4 linked regions of the Caenorhabditis elegans genome follow. The main gene of each other region encodes a partner of the protein of the gene in region 4 in a complex. Each region holds a gene or a part of one and is shown on either strand. Other genes may lie near its edges. The genes, in order: mdt-4, mdt-15, sur-2 and cdk-8.

Region 1 (4,334 bases), on a different chromosome or scaffold from region 4:
GGACCGCCCATCTATATCTAGATTAGTTGTGTGGAGGCAAGTCAAAAGAAGATGTGTGGGAATGTGTCTGATGGGAGAGATAATTTCTTATCTATTACCAAAGGGCAAGTAATATAAAATGACATAAAAAACGAAAGGAGGCGAAATTTTACAACTTCAACTTTTCTTCAAACTGATTTGAGCCCACAAAAACAAAAAAAAGTGATGGCTAACAACACTTTCACTGCAACATGTTTTGTGCATCTTTTCACGTACTCCGCATCTCTCTTGTCATGGGTGGTCCCTTTCGTTTCTGCGTCTCTAGATGGGGTGAGTGTTTTTTTAAAATAAGATTTGAATCAAAAGCTAACTTAGGTATATTCCAAAATTTGGCATATTTCTAAATATAATTAGTTACTAGAATTGTTGAAAAAAAAGTTCAAGGAGTAAATAGATTAGAGGACATAAAGAAAGAAAGAAAGGCAGCTGGCATAGCGGTAAACATGGCGTGGACACTGAACCACATGCAATCAGTTAGTGTCACTGTTAAACACAAGATATATAGAAAATTGTGTTTATTTATCAACGTACAATAAGTAAAATACCAGAATTTACAGAGATCTTTCATTATTTATTGCTACTGCCAGTCTTTTTCGATGCGCCTTCATCATCTGAACTATCTGACGAGTTGGAGCTGTCCGACGACATTTGTTCGACATCCCGCACATCTTGAACTTGATCGATACCTCCTGGACGATTCGGAAGTCCAGTAATTTTCAGCTTCACGTTTGGCGAGGAAGAAGGACTCTGAAAATATGTTATTTATTGGAAAATTATAAAATAGCAGATAAATGTAGCCATATTTAGATGTTCCGCGCCTAAGAAGACGAAGAATGATACCTATGGCGTTGTTATAGCACACGTAATCAACGATAAAGCCTTTGAAGCCGGCAATCTCGACTTTCTGTGTGCATTGAGAATCGAACTGGTGGACAGCTGAACAACGGGCAAACGCGTTACCACTGCGCCACCCGTGCATCATTTGCGGGCCGCCAGTAACACTGTCTATGTACACTCGGTTTGCACTGACCTGCGAGACACGGTTGTAAGGGGATTGCGTTGAGGTGGCTCCTGAAACTCCCGGATTCTGCCATTGCTTTTCATTTGGAGTGGCTCCACGGAGTACTTGCTGTTGAATCGGTGGAGGCTCGTCGGTGCCAAAACCAGTTCGTGGACTGAAATCTCCAGTCGGAGCAGAATTAATAAGAGGAGTGCCGACAGTTCGAATTGGAGCTGTTCCACCGTTGGATGAGGATGCGGATGGAGACTGAAATAATATTGATTGAACGTTGAATCTTAATTTTATTTATAAAATTTACTACGAATAACGTAGAAGGAAAGAGATCACAATATGAACTGAATATTTCTTATCACTCATAATTTGATCATTAGAAGGAATGACTGTTAGATAATGTAAGAAGATAAGACATAAATCACGTGATTCACAGCTGTTCGGTTACAGTGTGAAAAGAATTTCAGATTAACGTAGAAAACATTAGAAGTATTGCATTTATATAAATGCATTTATAAATGCATTTATCAAATATTTCAGGTGAGGATTCACATTTCAACAAGTTTCCATAAACATACCGTAATAAGCGGCCTCTGAGCGACGTTCTTTCCGGGTAAAAGCTGAGGTCCAGTGCTCTGAACTTTTGAATTCAATAGGTGACCAGCTCGAAATTCGTGTTCCTGAGGAAACGGACGCGATGGATCTCCCATTTGCCAAGTGAGTGGTGCAGATACGGAGTTGTGCTTACTGATCTGATGAGCCAGTTTGATGAGCATCTCACTATTGACTGGTCTCAATTCAGCTTCTTTCATTTGCTTGAGCTTCTGGTTTGCCTGAAATAAACGTATTTCGAAAAAAGTCTTTGTTTCCAACAAAATTTACATGAAAACAAGATCGCGTCAGAGCCACCTCACATGACTTCAAATTCGTTTCAAGTTGTTGAATAACTTCGTCTCGTTTCTCCACGTGGGCTTCAAGCGTCCGAATGAGCTGCTCTCGTTCTTGAAACTCAGGAACCCTCTTCAGCAAAGTCTTTATGCTATCCTGTTTTGAGTCAAACAGCTTGATAATGTTCGTAACGGTTTCTCCATTTTTCAGCATAACACTTTTGTCCCGATTGATGAGTGTATCGACGATCTGAAACAATAATTGATTATGTGGGTTCATGAATTCTATAAGATGAACTCACAGTAAAAAGTAATTTTAAAATAAACTATAATATTGTTTCAAATTTTTTTAGAACGTACCATTTTAACAATATGCTCCAAATCATCTGCAGATTCCAGGAGCAAATCCCGTAGACTTCGTTCATCTGTTTCTGCCATTTGAGATCTAGAACAATACAACCATCGAACATACATTAACAACTTTTAAAATAATTAATTACCGAAACAACGGCACAAGTTTCAAAAAAAAAGAGAATATTTTTCAAAGAATTTAGTATAATTTGAAAACTTAAAAACTTAACAACAGGCCACAGATTTAAAGAAAAAAGTTAACAGTAAAAATTAACAAAAAAATGTTCAACAACGAGAAATTAAAAGCGGATAAATGTGTGTTGTTTAGAGGATTCTTCCCTTGTTTCTCAACTTGTTCATCTTTCTCTTCTTGACGTCATCGATGCGCTTCTGGAGATTCTTCTTTCTCTTGTCTTGCTTCTGAAAAATAAAAATTCAAATCTTAAAGGATTTTCTACCAATCAACATACCGTTTGCTTCTCTCCCTCCGTCTTATTCTCTCGGTTCTCCCATTTCTGCTTTCTTCTATCCTTCATCTTATTCTTCTTCACCAAAGCCTTCTTGAGCATTCCCAAATTATCTTTCACTTTTCCACCAGCTGCTCTTTTCAGTGTTTTCTCCCACTTTAGCTCATCTTCCATGATGGTAGCCTTATGTGGATCAGCTTCGCGAACTTTGGCAATTGTTGCTTTTGTCTCTTCGACTTTAGCGATAAGTGATTTATAGTCACGTCCGGTAAGTTTAAGAGCTCGATCTTTTTTGGCGGTCTGAAAATTTCAGATATTTCAGATAAAAATATTTTTACTCACTCTTTGTTTCTTGCCCCTCTGCTTGTCTTCTTTGATTTCAAACTTGAGATTATTGAATGAAATTCCAGATTTCTGCTTCTCGACAGGCTCATTGCCATTTTCTGTGCTTTCAACAGTCTCTTTCTTCACTTGAGCTGCTGCCTCTTTTCCTTTCTTCTCCTCTGCTCTTCTTTGTTTCAGCTTCAGCTTGCTCTCCCGTCTTTTCAAACGCTTCTCCTCTGCCATTTTTTCAGCCATCGCTGATGTTACCTTCGCCGGTCCTTTTCCTTTCCGCTCAACTTTCATTTCCTTCAGCTTTTTCTGCAGTCTCAGCAAAGCGATTTGACGTCTGATTTCGGGGGATTCATTGTCTTCATCGTCTTCCAACTTTTGAATCTCCTTGTCAATTTTTCCATTCGATTTCAGAGTAGATTGTGCTACGGTTTTGTTGGGTTTAGATGGTGTTTCTTCTTCTTCGTCCGTTGAATCGCTGTCCTCAGCCTCTACAGCTCCATTATTTCCTTCAGGCTCTTCTCCATCTTCACTGTCTTCATCATCATCTGAAGATTCTTCTTTCTTTTGCTTCTTAGCAACTGGCTCGTCTGTTTCTTCTTTCTCCTCGTCGTCAGATGAATCATCCTCTTCTGAATCAGAATCAGCTTTCTTATCTTGCTTTTTCTGGTCTTTCTTCACTACTTTTTCTTTATTCTTGTTCTGATCCGCTGGTCTCTTCACCGGTGCAACAACCTTTTGTGGTTGCACTTTCGAATGCTGCTTGCTTTTAGACATCCACTCGAGGACTTCTTGAACAGTGTTTGGAACCAATCCTAAGCCTTTCGCCAGATGTTGTTTCTGTTGTGCAGACATTGACTTTCTTTCCTCTGAAAAACATACAGAATTTTAAAGAAATTTATCAATAAATTACTTTTGCTGAGTTGTCGATTAACCAAACTGTGTTTTCGCATCTTCAATGATTCTTTGACATCATCATCAAATCCCCAAGAGTTAACTGGAATCAGGTTGCAGAAGGAGAGCATCTGAAATTAAAATGTTTTGTTTCTCGGCCACTTTTCGAGGATGTGTGTACGCTACCTCTTTTTCAAGAATGTCCACTGCATCTTCTACAGCTTCTAATGTTTCTGCCATCTAAAATGCTTAAAATTAGTATTTTGATAAAGAGAATCCTCTAATTTTTAAAATATTAAGAAAAAAATGAAACGAAAAAAGTTGTACTAAACAACACGCGCTTCTCTGGTA
Region 2 (5,717 bases), on a different chromosome or scaffold from region 4:
TAAATGATTTGCTCCCCCTTTTCGTTTTCTTTTTCTTCTTGCGTTGATTTTTCACATTGTTATTGCACTTGGCAGTGTCGTATTTTTGTGTTTTTATTTTGACCCATAAGTTCTAATACGATATCTTAGGCTCCCAGCTTGACTGGTGCTCTCATAATTTGAAATCAGAAGTTTTTCTTTTAAAAATTGAAAAAAGTGCACATTTTTCTTAAATTTTGAAGCTAAATATTTGAAATCTTCCACACTTCTAGTTTAATTCTCGATAACATCTGATAATTCTTTCCAAAATTTCAGGTCGAGCTGGCAAACATGGAAAAGCAATCACATTCCTCACACCTGACGATACTGCCGTCTATTTCGACTTGAAGCAGGTAAAAATTGTGGACGGACACCTTCCAACACACGTGTAATTGGTTTACTTTCCAGTGCGCGCTAACCGAATTCCCTTTCGTCTTTTTTCGCGCGCGCTCTCCGGCACTTCACACATGTGTTGTGGTGCTGGAAGGTTGCCTAATTTCTTGCACTTGAGCTGGTTTTCTCTCTGCGACGAAAATGGATTTTTTGTTAGGCGGAAAACGGAATTCGTTTTTTTTGTAAGAAAATGAAAATTATTCGGGAATGATAAGACCGGTAAAACGTTCCATAAGATAAGAACATATTTCAGCGTTCTAGAGCAATTTAAAACAAAAAAATGTTGTGATTAATTCTACAATTTTTGCGCCGAAAATACGGTACCCGGTCTCGACACGACAGAAATTGTTGTTAACTGCGAAAGGTCTGCGTCTTTAAAGAGTTCGGTAACTTCAAATTTTCATTACTGCGGTAATTTCAAATTTTCATTTCATTGAGTTTTCCCATAAATTCATAAATATATTTTTTTATCGAAAAACAATGAAAAATCTTTAAAAATTCGACTGAGATTAAAGTTTGGAGTTACAGTACTCTTTAAAGGCGCACACCTTTCACATTCATCAAGAGAGTGTCGTGTCGAGACCGGGTGCCGTTTTTTTGTCAAAAACTAGAAGAATTACGTTGACGCGAAATGTATGTCCCCTTGCTTTACAAAATTTTATACACAAAACATTTAATTTTTAAATTTTCCAGGTTCTCGTTGAATTGCCTGCGTCGTTATGCCCGAATGGACTCGCGGAACATGATGCTGCACGGAGCAAACCTAGACAATTCACATCTTGATGTGAAAGTGAACTTTTTGTTTGAAAATTTCAAACATTTTTCAGTTTTTTTAAAACTTACCAAATCTTCCAAATAATACTAACCACCACATATCTTCCATTAAAAAATTTAACGTTTTTCAGCGTTCTGAATATCTTATCTCTCTGGTCCATTTCTCCTACAGAATATCTCTATCTCATAATTGCCTATTTTTATTTGTTTTTCTTTCTTAATTTCAAGCGTTTGGGATATCTTATCTCTCTCAACTCCGTTTATTTTTTTCTCCTTATCCGTCTCCTTATCCGTATTCCTTTATTATTAATCTCTTCTTCGTTCAACATCGCTAAATATTTTTTTCAATTCCTAATTTCAGGTCAAACCGGGGAACGAATCAAAAAGTGATTTTGCCGTCGGCGATCCGAAAATTTTGCCGGCTCGTCGACTATTGACGAGAACAAGAGGTGAGAAAATGGGGAACTTTTTGATATTTCCATCCTGATCTTTTGTGAATTGAAAGTTGAATCACAATAGATCGATGCACCATAATACAAAAAGTGACAATTTTTCCCCACTTTCAACCATCCATTATTCTATTTCTTTTGCAGGAATCGTCGTTATTTTTCGTTTGCCGCGTTCGTCGTTTTGATTTGTTCTTCATTTTCCTTCTTGTCGATAATTGTGTGTGAATCAAGACGCTCAGAAAGCCGCCGCCACGTTGACGTCGACGGTTGTTGAATCGCTTGCAAAAGCAACATTTCAAAAACAAGAGCAGAGTAGAAAGATGAGCGAAGAGGATTGGCCTTCGCCGAAATTTCGAGAGCATGTTATTCAGAGACTGTAAGCTTTTTTTAAAGGAATATTTTTTTGATAACCGAGAAAACATTTTAAAAAATTTTTTTTTTGTTGAAAATTTCCAAAAATTTCCATTCAAAATTTTGATAAATTCCCAAGTATTTGTAAATTATAAACCATAGGAGCTGATGTCACAAATGTATCCAGGCTGTACTCTTTTTAAAAATGAAAAAAAAATCCCGAAATATAAAAATTTTCCAATTTTCAGTGAGCCTGAGTTGGCGAGAAACCGGCAGAATGCCCCAAATTTACCAGTACCCGGTGACGCGAGGCAGGTCGAAGAATATGTGTTCGCAAAGTGTATGTCGAAGGACGAATATATGAGGACGATCGCAAAAGTGATTAATGCTATCAATTGTAATAGTAAATCAGCGGCAGTGCCTTCCGTGTTACAACCATCACAGTTTCATAGTCCGCCGTGTACGACAGCAGGTAACTTTTTGTAGTTTTTTGTGGCAACGAAAATCTAAAATTTCAATTAGCTCTATTAGGAAACACTCCGGCTGGCGGAACACCCGGATATCGAGCTCCTGTGCCTCCAGATCCACAACCAACATCAGCTCAGGCAAGAAATCCACCTGTTACCGTAGCAACAACACAGGCATCAACAACTCCATCAGCACCAAATCCGCCAGGAGGATTGCCTGCTCCATCAGCTTCTGCCACTGCTGCTGTTGCCGCCGCGGTTGCTTCATTTCCATCACCAGATACAAGTATTCGTCCAGGTGGACAGATCACTCCAGGATCACAGGCACCCGGTGGAGGTCCGACGCCGGCACCAAATGTTCCATTCCCAAATGGAAGCAGCCAGATGAATGGTGGACCAGCAATGGGTCAGCCACCACCGCAAATGGGTGCTCCAAATATGGGTGGACCACCGAATGGATACGGTGGTTACGGTATGATGAATGGACCACCTGGTAGTGGTGCTCCAATGGGTGGAAATCCGTACAATCAGCAGATTAAAAAGGATGTGAGTTTATTTTTCAAATGTATTTTTTTTTAATCTGCTAATTTTTCAATTTTTGATTAATTTTTTTTTCAGATGGATCAAGCTCGTCCTTGGGATCCTTCAGCACATATGTATCAACAACAACCACAATGGGGTGCAATGCCACCACAACAACCACATGGATATCCTGGAAGACCAATGAACGGTCAAGGAGCCACTCCAACCGGTCCTTCATCAGTTCTTGAATCACTTATCAATCAGCCTCAACAATATCCAGGACATCACAATCAGATGGGCCCACCTGGAGATCGAAATGTTGCTGCTCAACGTGCAGCTGCCCAACAACAGCAACAACAACAACAACAGCAGCAACAGCAACGACCCGGAATGGTTCCAAACCAGGGAATGATGAGTTCCGAGGATCAAACCGTGTATTCTGCGAAATTGAGAAATATGCGTGGAAGCTGCGACAGTTTGAGAACACGAGCAAGGCAATGCAGACATGAGGGTAACCATGAAGCTGCTCACAAGCTTGAGGTTATGCTCAGTGTGCTCGAAGGAAAACGTGTGGTTAGCCTTGAATACTTGAACCATTTGGAGATGTGGATTGCCAGAAAGCAAGACTTCTTGAATATTGCTCCAATGTCACAGAATCAGAATCATATGGGAATGAACGATCCGATGATGAACGGTGAACATGCTATGTTGGGTAATGGTCAGGTGCCAAATCCCTACGGAGGACATCCAGGTTATGGACATCAGCAGTATATGGGACCTCCACCACCACATATGCAAATGCATCAACCACCAATGTGGCATCAACAGCAACACCAACAGCAGCAACGAATGATGCCACAGGATCATATGATGATGCAGGGTGGAGGTGGTCCAGTTCATGGAATGTATCGTGGAGATATGGGACACGATCCGATGACATCACCAGTCAACAATCATCGTCATGCTCCATACCCGAATCCTGCAGCGATGAGAAACAATATGAGAATGCCAAATGGTCCTGGACCAATTGGAAGAGATCGTAATTCGATGAGTGGATCAAGTATGTCAGGTCCAAGTTCTGGAGCCCCTTCAATGAATCCAATGGGTACACCGAATCAAAAAATGGGAACACCTGGATCAATGGGTGGAATGTCAGGACTTGATGATCTGAACTATGATGATTTCCTTCCAAACCCAACGCCGATTGATGCACTTCAGCCAACATTGCACGTCGGGCAGAATTCGATGAATGTAAGTTTTATATTAAAAATTGAGTTTCTCAGCTTTCAAAAAAAAAAAACACACAAAGTATCCTCAAATGATTTTTGAAAAAAGTGAAAAATAATTGTGTCGCCGAAAACACGAAAAAAAAAATCGAAAAACGAAAAACCTCTGATCTCAAACAGGGACACCAAAAACATTTTAGACCAAAAACAAAACATTTTCGTATTTTTTCTTCTCCCGACTAAAAATCAACATTTTCGCAATTCAGTTTTTTTTTCTTTTTTTGGTCCGAAAAAACCAACAAGATTACCAAAAAATCTATTTTTACAAAAAAAAAATCAACAGCCAATCAATAATCTCAATCAATAAATATTCAGGCTGGTCCACCAGTTCAACGATCAAATCTCAATGAAACAGCAAGAAAGGAACTTCAAATCCTTGATGCTCGATTCGAGATTGATCCAAACCATCAACGTCATGATGCCAATCATATCATTGTCGTCTGTAAAATCCGTAATCAACAGTTCCCACCACTTCGACTCGTTGTTCCAACCACTTATCCAGCTGGAAATGTGACTGTAGATCGAGCAGTCATTGATTTGGATGCATATTTGTATGATGATCTACAAAATTCAGTATATGAGAGATTATCACGACCCGGTCTTTCGTCAATTACTGACTATTTGAATGCTTGGGTAAGTTCTTTCGCTGAGAAAGGGAAATTTATGAAAATTGCACTTCAAATTGAATTTTAAATTTATAATTTTCTACAGGAAGAACAAGTGAATCAATACCAAAACCAGACAAGCGGTGGTCTAGACGTCGCTTTCAACGTGGGCAACGATTTCTTCTACGATAATCTTAACTTGTAAGTTAGGTAGAGTGCATTAAGTTTCTTTTTTTGTGCCTGCTCACTAAAAGTTTTGTTATTCAATGTTTATTTTTGTAAAATAATAAAAAATATGAAAAACATTATAAAATAAAGTTGGAAGTGAAAAAATTCCGGAAAGTTTTAATTTTTGTAATAACTTTACAAAAAGTATTACTCAAACGCGAAAGTTTACGATTTTTCACCAAAATTACGGTAACCGGTCTCGACACGAAAAATGTTGGTCAAATGCGAAAATATGTGCGTCTTTAAAGAGTACTCTATTTTTTCATCGTTTTTTGATTAAAAAAATATATACCTGTCAATCTAAAAAAAATACCCGAATTTGACAATGAAAACACAATTAATATGATTTGAAACATGATTTTAAAATTACAGTACTCTTTAAAAACGCAAACCTTTAAAAAAATTAGAAGACAGTTTTTTTTAAACAAACTGTTTTCTTCTCAATCAATGTTTTCTAATTTTCAGGTCAAATCCGTTCTAAACTCCGCCTCGTCTGAATTGAATTGCTCAGTTGCACAAAACCTGTACAAAAAAGAAAATCGAGTCTTCGTGGAATGGATTCAGTTGTTGTTGTCCTCTATAAATGATTGTTTTGCCTCCTCCTCCTATCATCAGCTTGCCCTT
Region 3 (4,689 bases), 6.1 Mb from region 4:
TTTTTCCAGATTTTCGAGAATATCTATTATCCAAAACTTCTCTTTTTGGATTTTTTAAAAGAAAAAGTTACAAGAAAAATTAAAGATTTTGGTTTTCAATTTTTCTAAATGTCGGAAATCTAAAGTTTTGTTTTTTGGTAAATTTTTTTTTAAAAACATTTCAAGAAAATCTTAAGTTTCGGTATTTTTTTTCGAAATTTTATTTAAGAAGTGAAAAATTGGATTTTTCTGGAATTTTCTAAGAATAATTGAAAAAAAGAAATATTTTGGTTTTTCGATTTTTTTTTGAAGGTCTAAAAGTCAAGAACATTCAGATTTTTGAAGAATTTTCAAAAGATTTTGTTTAAATTATAGCTTTTATCCTAAGAATTTTGATTTTGGATTTTTTTTTCCTTCAGAAATAAACCAAAAATTGAAACGCTTAGTTTTTAAATTAAATTATTAGCTCTACTTTCAAATTTCTGGCTTTTCAAGACAATTTTGAAATTCAAAACTTGTGTTTTTCAAATAGAATCTTTTTTTTTTCGATTTTCTCTTTGAAAAACCCAAAAATTTAGCTTTCCTGAATGTCGGAAATCGAAATGTTCGGATTTTTTAGAATTTTACTTTAAAAGTAAAAAATTGGATTTTTTTTCTGAATTTGCGAAAAATAATTGAAAAAAGGAATATTTTTGTTTTTCGGGTTTCGCAAAATCGAAAAATTTGAAATACACTAACAATAAATGTTGTGTAATCCCATAAATAACAATATTAACAATATTGTCCCATTGATATCGTGGAATTGGCTCAGTTTCCGGTAGAGATTCTGCTTCGGCCATTGATTCACATATCATTACAGATATCAACATTTCCCAATTTGTCTTTGTCTTCGTTTTGCTCGGAGGATGAAGCTGAAACTTAATTCGGGATAAGTTATTTAAAATATATATATTCTCAATTTCATACCGAGTCCTTTCCCAATGGCTGACGAAGAATCATGTAGAGGGTGTACAAGTATGTAGAAGTATGTTCAGGACGATATGGAAGTGTATGATGAGGTTGAACAATTGTATTACTGGCATTTAATCCATGTTCTTCCCAACACGATGTTAATGGATAGAATGATGGATGTAGTGGAATGGGGTAAACGAATCCACGGCCACACACGTGGGATAGGTCGGCAATTGGTCGGAAATGGACGGATAAGCTTGCCAGTTTCTCCGTTAGTCTCTGTAATATTTGGCATTTTAATTTAATCTTAAGAAATATAGGCTTGGTAAATGAATCGAGATGGGTCGATCCGTGACTCATCTCGAGCCGCTTTTTGCAAAAAAAATCCACAATTGCCGGAATTGAAATTTCCGGCAAATCAGCAGATTGCCGGAAAATCAGCAAATTGCCGAAATTTTTCGGCAAATTGTGGTTTTGTACATTCAGATAATTTTTCGTCGATGAAGGTGATTTTTCAGTCAATCAGCATACAAATCAGGGGTGTGTGGCAAACGATTTTTTCGGCAAATCGGCAAAGTGCCGGAATTGAAATTTCCGGCAAATCGTGAAACCGGCAAATTTCCGAATTTACCGGAAAAATACCAATTGTCGAAAATTTTTGGCAAATTGTGGTTTCGCACTAATTTTTTGGGAATTTCAGAATTGTACGCATCCTGTGAGTGTTTGAATGTTTTTTTCTACATCTTTTTTGAAAAGTAAGCAAATTCTATAAAAATATCTGAGGAAAAGGGAAAAACAGCCCAAAAAGTCACAGTTTTAAGTGTTTCAGTCTTATGAAAAAATCCCTCAAAACATTTGCGGAAAATTTAACATCCGGTAAACGGCAAATCGGTAAACCAGCAAATTGCCCGATTTGCCGAACGGTAATTGCCGCCCACCCTTGGTAAAAACTTCAAATAAAATGTTGAGAAACTGAAAATTTAGAAATCAGAAGAAATTTCCCGTCATTTTTTTATGGCTTAAATTAAGTTTTTTAAAACTTCTGTAGTATTCAATTTGGTTTACTTTCTGTAACTCAAAAACTAAATGCACAGAAATTAGAAACTTTGCGAGAATGGTCGAACTTTTTTTTGGTTTCCGCCAAAAAAAAATTCGACTTTTTGAATGTAGAGAGATCTTTTTTTTGTGTTTTTTTTGCCGAAAAAAAAAATTAACAAATCTAAATTTTTACATTGTCTTTATATTTTCAGCAATTTTTTTTAAAATTTTCCCCTCACCGGCAGCATAAGCGCCTGTTTCGGCATTCCTCTCATAATTTCTGATAATGTGATGAGTGGAGGCATCAAATTGGAGTCTCTATCCACAATATGCAGTATTACATTCTCAACAATGCGGATTTCGTTTACTTGCTCCGGAGATAGTGAATACGGTAGGCGACGGAGCTGTGATTCCAGAATATATCGGAGGATATTCCGAATTCCTTTGTAATCGATTTTTGGAATGCAATCATTGATGAATTTCCATTTTTCTTGGCATATTCTACTGCATAATCGGAAGTCCGAAGTCATTATGAGTCCTTCTGCGCACAGATTCGTTGAAATCGCACCTTTTTGATGAGCATATCGGAGAAGCTGATCTACGACACGTTCGTAGTTTGTTCTGGAATAAAACACTGTTAAAACCTCTGATTATATGCAAAAGAACTGTTAAAATTGTTTTTTTTTCGAATTTTTAAATTCTCACCCAACAAAAACTCGATCAGGAGAGTTCTTTTCCGCCACGTGATGAACCATTTTTATTAGCTCTTTCACTAAAGATTGTTTTTCTTTTTCTTCCATTTTACTCATCATATTATTGAATTGAATCCGTAAAATCGCCGTCTCGTCGCCAATATTCGACGTAAGAGGTCGAAAAAATTTTCTTGTGTGGTTTTCTTCCTAGAATATATTTTTATGAGTTATGTTTAATTTTTTAAGCGTTATTTTTGATTTAAAAAACTCACAACGAGACTTTTAATTTGACTCTTTATTCGATTGACTTCCTGAACAAATTGCGGAGAGCACGTGTCATCCATTTCAATTGTATCTTCTGCGGAACCAGGTTTATCCGTCATTTTGTTGCCTGAAAATGTAATAATTTTCAAAAGAAAAATGTTAAAATAATAAATTGAAACAAAATAGGTTGATAAAAATTAAAAACGCATTGTTTGAGAAAGATATTACTGCGCCTCTTCTCTCTCACGCGTGACAATAGAGCGCGCTTGGTGTGTGGTCTCTTCGTTCACGCATATTCTGCGGATTTGAACTCTACCAGAGTTCTGCGAAAAAACTACTACATATATAATACATTTCACACATTTAAATATCTTGACTTTTATTGTAGGTAAACTGACATTTGGACTGATTTGCCAAATTTCTGTTGAAAATCAGTTTCAAGAAGCTGAAATCTAGATTAATTTATTTTTTTCATATCTTCATAAAAAGTACAGTTTATTCTCATTTACATTCCTTTAAATGGCGTGTTAAAATAATGAATTAATGTTCGATTTGCACTACAAGATTTCCTTTCGCTCCCTTGTTGTTCATAATTTCCTCATGAGCCAGTCCTAATTGCTCGAGACGATACAATTTGTTTATAAGTGGACGAAACTCGGTTTCCTTCAAGAATGAGACAATGTTGATGCCAAAGTCCAAGAGCTCAGCCTCGGAAGACATTCCCAATGCTACACCGTAAACAGCTCCTTCTGTAACCATAAGTTGTCTTGCGTTGATCGTGGTCTCGGCGCGATTTCCAATTACTGCAACTCTACCACGTGGAGCCAGCAATCCGAGGTCCGTGTTCAGATTTGTGTGAGCAGCCATTTCGAAAATGTGGTTGAAGCCTCCTGGATAATCATTTTTCATTTTCGACACATATTGCTTATCCGAATGATTATAGACATTCCGTGCACCAAGACTCTTCACGAACCGGATCCCATCAGCAGATCCAGCAGTGCCAACAGCTTCAATGTTCCTCCAGGCAGCCAGCTGCATCAGTGCACTTCCCACTCCACCAGATGCTCCGTGTACAAGTATAACGTCGCCAGTCTGAGAAGAGAATTAGTTTTGGGAGGGAACAGCAGATGGTCGTATTTTAGACCGCCCCTTGTTTGAGATGGAACAGATGGTCAAGTTGGCTTTGTAAAGATTGATTTGTATTGATTTTGCCTCCTAATTTTGATACGTTTTTGCCAAAATTTTAATATTCTCTATGAACCATTTAATAATAAATAAAAGTCAAACCTTTGCACCAGCAAGATGAAACAATGCACGATAAGCGGTAAGATAAGGCACTCCGAGAGAAGCTCCTTCCTCAAACGAAACTCCTGAAATGAGATTTTAGCTATATCTTAGGTCTCGCCACGCGGGCAACTAGCTACAGTAACCCGTTGCGCAATGATTCTTTTACCTTCCGGCAACTCGAATGGTCGATTCACCGCAACATACTCTGCTGTACTGTCCGCTTCTGATCCATACCAGACTCGATCGCCGACTTTCACATTTTTAACGCTTTCTCCCACAAGTTCGACGAATCCGGCTCCATCTTTTCCTGGTACATATGGAAGATTTGGTAGTTTTCCATACTGACCAGCACGAATATATGTGTCAACTGGATTGACACCGGCAGCGTAATTCCGAACGAGAACCTGGTTTTTTTCAAGCCTGGGCATATCACTCTCGACGGCTTCTATGACATCAGGTGCTCCGAATCGTCGGACTA
Region 4 (5,685 bases):
CTCTGATCAGAGATCAAACTACATAGGGACAGAAGGACACGCGCTTTATATATAGTAAATGATAGTAAATGATAATCATGAAACATACCTGTTGTTGTTGTCGATGTTGTGCTTGCGCATAGCTTATCTGTTGTTGTCCTTGCTGATTTTGTGCCATAAATACAGCTCGATTTTGTTGTTGAATTTGATTTGCTACTTGCTGTCCTGGAATTAAATTTAAAACTCTTTTCAGTTTTTCAAACAAGAATGTCTTATACAACACGTAATGTGAGACCCAACACACGAGTTTGAAATTTTCCAGAATTATTTTGATTGTTTTCGATTTTTTTTTGTTTGCAAAAACAGTGAAAATTTAATCAATATTTAATTTTTCCTTTTGGAAAATATGTGAAACTTCAATCGTTCAAAAATCAGAAATCGAGTTATTCGAAATGTAAATGTAGAGTTAATTTGTGTCTAGAATATTATTCCAATAAAACAATTAATTATTGCAGAAACATATACGCGATTCTAGATATACGTAGTACTTGTATTCTATTGATAAAACACACGGCATCCGGAGACCGTAAATAAATTGAAATAAAACCGATTTAAAAAAAAAAATATTTTGTTTTGAATAACATCAATTAAATATTGACTATCAATTTTCTAAATAAAATTAAAAACTTACTCTGATAACCTTGTTGAACGTTATGTCCTTGCACAGGTCGCATTTGAACACCAACTGCAACATTTCGACCCGCTATCGTTCCCTGCAATTTCTTTTGAAAAATTAAAATAGTTTCGTGAATTTGAAATTTTGTTTCAATTCTTAGAATTTGTTATGTTGATTGAGAAACTGATAATAAAGACTTACTGGATGTCCAAAGTTTACTTGCATTGGTTGACCACCAGGAACTTGGCGAACATAGGCAGGACCGACACCATTTTGCTGAATCTGACGTACTCCCGGGGGTAGTTGAACTATCTGAAATAAACTTTAATTCATAAATTCAAGCATATGTCTTGTCTCGAACAAAATTTGATTATATTCTTCAAAATCTCACCCTCTGCTGTCCGTTTCCGTCGTGATGAACCGTTCGAATTCCTGCCGTTTGCACATACGTGGCATTTTGTGATACTGCACCACCAGCTTGTGCAGGCATCACTTTTTGAACGTAAGTTCTGTAATATCTTTCGAGTGTTGTTATTGGATTTCTTGATCCAAATAACTAAAACTGAACAAGCTATTTTTTAATTCAACTCATACCTCTGGTTTCCCATCATTTGATGATCACCCATTTGCATTTGAACTGATCGGCCTGTAAATTTGAGTTGTTATCTTTTGAAAACTCGACAAATGCTAAAATCTGCAACAACGAGAGAGCGAGACTTCGTGAGAACATAAGAATTTTTTGATTTATGTTAGAAAATTCTGGAAAAGTTAAGAAATATTTATTTCCGACGACCAGTTTATTTTAAATTCAGACAAAATAATATCCAAAATACAATATTCGGTTTGTTCATTCTAAACTGATTTGAGGCAAACGCGGTTACAGGATCGATTGAAAGCGTTATTCGCTGCCAAACCAGAGTATCCTCTCTGAATGTGCATTCCTCCTAGTTATTTGTCTGTTAGACATGTGGCATTTATTGATTAGTTAATTTATTGATTTTTCAGTCTTAACGCTGTGTTCTTTGGGAAGAAGAAGTGACGTTCGGCGAGAATTTGCCACAAGAAAAAGTGCTAGAAAACGAAGACCGACGAAGATGTCGTGATATTTGGTGTTTAGTACGTGGGTGCAGTGTTTGCGGACTTCCTTACCGTACACTTCAATTTTAATTTTCGTTTTTCTGGACATCGATTTTCCTGGCATAAAGACTGAGTAGTATTCGCTGTAGTAACTGAAAAATGACGTAAGTTGGAAATTTGCACTATAAATAAATCAGAAAATCCCTATTGCAGATTAATGATTGATGAAAACTTCAAAAAACAATTGGCACAGCGTCGAGAGAGAGTAGAAGACCTTTTCTACTTTGAAAATTCAAAAGAAATCGGCAGAGGAACATATGGATTAGTTTATAAAGCAGTTCCGAAAAAGCAAAATGGACAATTTCCTAACAAAGAATACGCATTAAAAATGATTGAGGGACAAGGATTTTCAATGTCTGCATGCAGAGAAATTGCTCTATTCAGAGAATTAAGGTAATTTCACCGATTAAATAATATTAATTTAAAATGAAGATTGAATTCGAGATTTTCCCCTTTTTATAATCTAAAATTCGAAAAAAAAACTGAAGTAGATATTCAAAAAAAAAAAATGTTTCAGGCATCCGAATTTAATCTGTCTTCAACGTGTATTTCTTACCAACGAAAAAAAAGTCTGGCTTTTATTGGATTATGCTGAACACGATCTCTGGCACGTTATCAAACATCATCGAACAGCTAAAAGCAAGAAAGTCCCAATTATGGTGCCACGGAATATGGTCAAAAATATATTGTTTCAAATTTTATCAGGTTTGAAATTCTAAAATCCAATTTCACTCAACTGTATTTTAAAATATTCAGGAATGCATTATTTACATTCAAACTGGGTACTACATCGAGATCTCAAACCAGCAAATATTCTATTAATGGGTGATGGACCACCTGACATGAGAGGAAGGTTTGACTGAATTTGAAATTTATGCGATAATATGAAATAATAATTCTAGGGTAAAAATTGCTGATTTGGGATTTTCAAGAATCTATGCAAATCCTCTGAAACCGATGGCTGAATTAGATCCAGTAGTTGTCACATTCTGGTACAGAGCACCTGAATTGCTTCTCGGAGCAAAGCATTATACAAAGGTACGTTGAAAAATCTATTTAATAAGGAAAAAATGCATAATCTCAGGCTATTGACGTATGGGCTATCGGATGCATTTTTGCCGAACTTCTTACCGCTGAACCATTATTTTTCTGTAAAGAGGAAGACATCAAGGCACAAAATCCATATCACTATGATCAAGTGAAAAGGTACAGATTTTTTGGAAATTAAAATCATTAACTATTCGAAATTTTTAAAGAATATTCCATCTACTCGGATACCCATCAGATGCTGATTGGCCTGATATGAAGAAAATGCCGGATCATCAAAGACTTCTAAGCGATGCTAGAAATGAAGGGTAAATTATAATATAAAAGTTTTCAAATTTATTTTGATAGATTACTTAAAGGCACATTATTTTTTTCAGTAGCGTGAATGGCTTCAATGAAACCGAATTAGTCTCAAATTAGGAAATACCACAAAAAAAGGAAAAAAAAATCGCGAAAGAATTAAAAATCCAAGATTAAAAAACGAGTCGCTGATTGGTCGCAGTTCTCATTTAGGTGGCAATTCAAACAATTGAAAATCGCGATTTCAAAAGTTGGTTTTTCATTCTTGCGATTTTTTCCATTTTTTGTGGCATTTCCGAATTTGAGAGAATTTCGGATGTGTGAATTTGTATTGCAATATATAACGGCTTTAAAAAAGTTTTACATAATTATAAATAAACAATTTTCAGAACACCAATTCAAACATTTCCAAACAGCTTGCATCGATACTTTGATAAATGGAAAATCAATTCACAAAGCTCTCCATATAGATTACTTGTCAAATTGCTCACAGTTGACCCTACAAAACGTGTCAGTTGTGAAGAAGCGATGAATGATATTTATTTTAGAGTTCGTTTGAAATTTAATTTGAATAATATTTGAAAAAACCATTTGCAGAAAATGGAAAGACCACCAAGGGAGACTGACGACGTGTTCAATAAATATCCAATTCCATACGCGAAGAAGGAACAGCAGATGACGGTAAGGGCATCAATTGTTGAATACACTGCAAATGTTCCCAAGATTCTTTTACAGGTTGCACCAGATCAAGCACAACAACAGCATCAACAACAACAAGTTCAAATGCAACAACAACCACAAATGGGACAGCAACAAATGATGGGACAACCTCAAATGGTACAACCTCAGATGGGACAACCACCAATGGGTGGAGCACATCCCGGAGTTGTTGCTCCAGATGGACATCCACATCAAATGATGCAGCAACAACAGCATCCACAACAGCATCATGTCAGTTTTCTAAATATTCAGAATGAAAAGTTAACTTTTTCTGTTCAGATGCAATATCAAGGAATGCATGATCCAATGCAAGGTGGAATGGATGAAGGACCACAAGCAAAAATGATGAGAATGGGAAATGTTCCTGTTGGAAGAGTAAGCTTTTTAATTAGAAAATAATAATAAAAAACATAACATGGCTGAATATCATAATTAAGGATTTCAAATTTTCAAAGTTTTTGTAAATTTCCAAATTTCGCAAATTTTGATAGATTGATTGTTGAATTTGCAAATTTTTGTAAAATGATTTATAATTTTTTTGTTGGTAAATTGCCAAACTTTCAAAAATTGAAATTTCTTGAAATATTCGTTAATCGTTGCAAAATAGTAGATAGAAACTAATTTTGATAATTTTTGGTTTATTTCCAAATCATGGTAGATGAAGTAATTTTCACTTTTTACTGTAGGTAAAACTATTTTGAAAAATTGTTGAAAAGCGTTACTAGGATATTGGGTCATTTTAAGATCATAGGAGTGATTTTCATCATTTTTCCCTATGGCAATACTCCACTTTTCAAATTCTTATGTTCAATTCTACAATTGCAGTATGCACCGATGCCTCCTCCATACGGTGCTCCACAAGACTATCACCCGCAACAAGGTCCACCAATGGTGCAAATGATGCAACAACCGGGACCATCCGGCTACTATCCACAACGACCAGGACAACCAACAGGAGCAGTTCCTGGACCAGGACCTCAAGGATATATGAATCCACAAATGGGAATGCAAATGGGCATGCGTGCTCCAGGAGTTCCACCACAAGGATATATGCCTGGTCGTGGAATGGCTCCCCCTCAAATGGGACAACAGCAACCCGGTCCAAATCAACAGCAACAACAGCAATGGCAACAACAATATCATCGATAAACATTTCATTTGTAACATGTATGTATCTATAGTACTCACATCAAACTAATATTGCTCGTCATGTGTAATTTGAAGGCTTTGTAAATTGTATTTTTTTGAAATACGTTCACAATAAAATTGAGAAAATACGTGGCAGTTATCAAAATCAAATTCGGAAAGATTTTTTTGGTTTAATTCAAAATAGAAAACAAAGCAAAATGAGTGAATGAAGCCGTTTTTCAGGGGGGGTTCGAGATTTTTTCATCGTAAGGTTGGGGTATAATCATTTAAAACAATTTTAAAATTGAAATTCTATATTGGAAGTCGTTCATTTTTTGAAGTCGGATGTGATTCGATGCAAGCGGAGAATTCGGTCACCGTGATACTTGGACATGTTCTGCAAACATTTTAATTTTAAGATTTTAAAGCTGTTTGGAAATAATATTTCTTTTTCTCTGATGGTCTCACAACGATCGTTTGAACACTTCAATTTAAATAAAAAACGAACCTCAACACACAATACCACTAATTTATTTTCACATTTTTCGGATCCACTTGATTGGAAAATGCTTGTATTCGATGAGATGTGACCTGCCAAAGAAGTCAGAGATGCTGCAATAAATTATATTCTAAAAATTGTCTTCAATTTCTCAAAAATTACAATCGGCTCTTCTCCATCCATCACAGTATTGTTCAGC

Evidence for each region.
Region 1: cdk-8 (region 4) and mdt-4 share a complex: the UniProt entries of both Caenorhabditis elegans proteins name them as parts of the mediator complex.
Region 2: cdk-8 (region 4) and mdt-15 share a complex: the UniProt entries of both Caenorhabditis elegans proteins name them as parts of the mediator complex.
Region 3: cdk-8 (region 4) and sur-2 share a complex: the UniProt entries of both Caenorhabditis elegans proteins name them as parts of the mediator complex.

The regions. Positions count from the first base shown.
Region 1 is NC_003280.10:4,941,567-4,945,900, forward strand, and holds mdt-4 (Mediator of RNA polymerase II transcription subunit 4), read right to left. Parts: upstream 2,384-4,334; 5' UTR 2,377-2,383; coding exon 2,299-2,376; intron 2,189-2,298; coding exon 1,934-2,188; intron 1,885-1,933; coding exon 1,630-1,884; intron 1,307-1,629; coding exon 1,070-1,306; intron 954-1,069; exon of another isoform or gene 787-953; coding exon 607-786; coding exon of another isoform or gene 597-606; 3' UTR 541-596; downstream 1-540. Other genes in the region: ZK546.19 (uncharacterized protein), read left to right, coding at 205-309, 597-752; SURF6 homolog gldi-11, read right to left, coding at 2,614-2,709, 2,760-3,056, 3,099-3,958, 4,003-4,114, 4,170-4,223. UniProt on the Caenorhabditis elegans protein: Component of the Mediator complex, a coactivator involved in the regulated transcription of nearly all RNA polymerase II-dependent genes.
Region 2 is NC_003281.10:5,829,575-5,835,291, reverse strand, and holds mdt-15 (Mediator of RNA polymerase II transcription subunit 15), read left to right. Parts: upstream 1-1,546; 5' UTR 1,547-1,634; intron 1,635-1,778; 5' UTR 1,779-1,815; coding exon of another isoform or gene 1,816-1,908; 5' UTR 1,909-1,954; coding exon 1,955-2,010; intron 2,011-2,233; coding exon 2,234-2,457; intron 2,458-2,507; coding exon 2,508-2,998; intron 2,999-3,070; coding exon 3,071-4,225; intron 4,226-4,575; coding exon 4,576-4,893; intron 4,894-4,971; coding exon 4,972-5,070; 3' UTR 5,071-5,167; downstream 5,168-5,717. Other genes in the region: R12B2.6 (uncharacterized protein), read left to right, coding at 1,139-1,270; R12B2.13 (uncharacterized protein), read left to right, coding at 1,816-1,908. UniProt on the Caenorhabditis elegans protein: Component of the Mediator complex, a coactivator involved in regulated gene transcription of nearly all RNA polymerase II-dependent genes.
Region 3 is NC_003279.8:14,784,754-14,789,442, forward strand, and holds the start of sur-2 (Mediator of RNA polymerase II transcription subunit 23), read right to left. Parts: upstream 3,051-4,689; 5' UTR 3,044-3,050; coding exon 2,933-3,043; intron 2,868-2,932; coding exon 2,674-2,867; intron 2,590-2,673; coding exon 2,208-2,589; intron 1,210-2,207; coding exon 946-1,209; intron 891-945; coding exon 718-890; intron 1-717. Other genes in the region: F39B2.3 (15-oxoprostaglandin 13-reductase), read right to left, coding at 3,465-4,016, 4,212-4,294, 4,378-4,689. UniProt on the Caenorhabditis elegans protein: Component of the Mediator complex, a coactivator involved in regulated gene transcription of nearly all RNA polymerase II-dependent genes.
Region 4 is NC_003279.8:8,700,671-8,706,355, forward strand, and holds cdk-8 (Cyclin-dependent kinase 8), read left to right. Parts: upstream 1-1,795; 5' UTR 1,796-1,891; coding exon 1,892-1,896; intron 1,897-1,945; coding exon 1,946-2,185; intron 2,186-2,309; coding exon 2,310-2,497; intron 2,498-2,548; coding exon 2,549-2,645; intron 2,646-2,694; coding exon 2,695-2,830; intron 2,831-2,876; coding exon 2,877-2,998; intron 2,999-3,048; coding exon 3,049-3,147; intron 3,148-3,528; coding exon 3,529-3,688; intron 3,689-3,736; coding exon 3,737-3,820; intron 3,821-3,874; coding exon 3,875-4,090; intron 4,091-4,138; coding exon 4,139-4,234; intron 4,235-4,684; coding exon 4,685-5,008; 3' UTR 5,009-5,155; downstream 5,156-5,685. Other genes in the region: tlf-1 (TATA box-binding protein-like 1), read right to left, coding at 89-204, 671-752, 857-967, 1,047-1,173, 1,250-1,287; cle-1 (Fibronectin type-III domain-containing protein), read right to left, coding at 5,316-5,384, 5,496-5,599, 5,649-5,685. UniProt on the Caenorhabditis elegans protein: Component of the Mediator complex, a coactivator involved in regulated gene transcription of nearly all RNA polymerase II-dependent genes.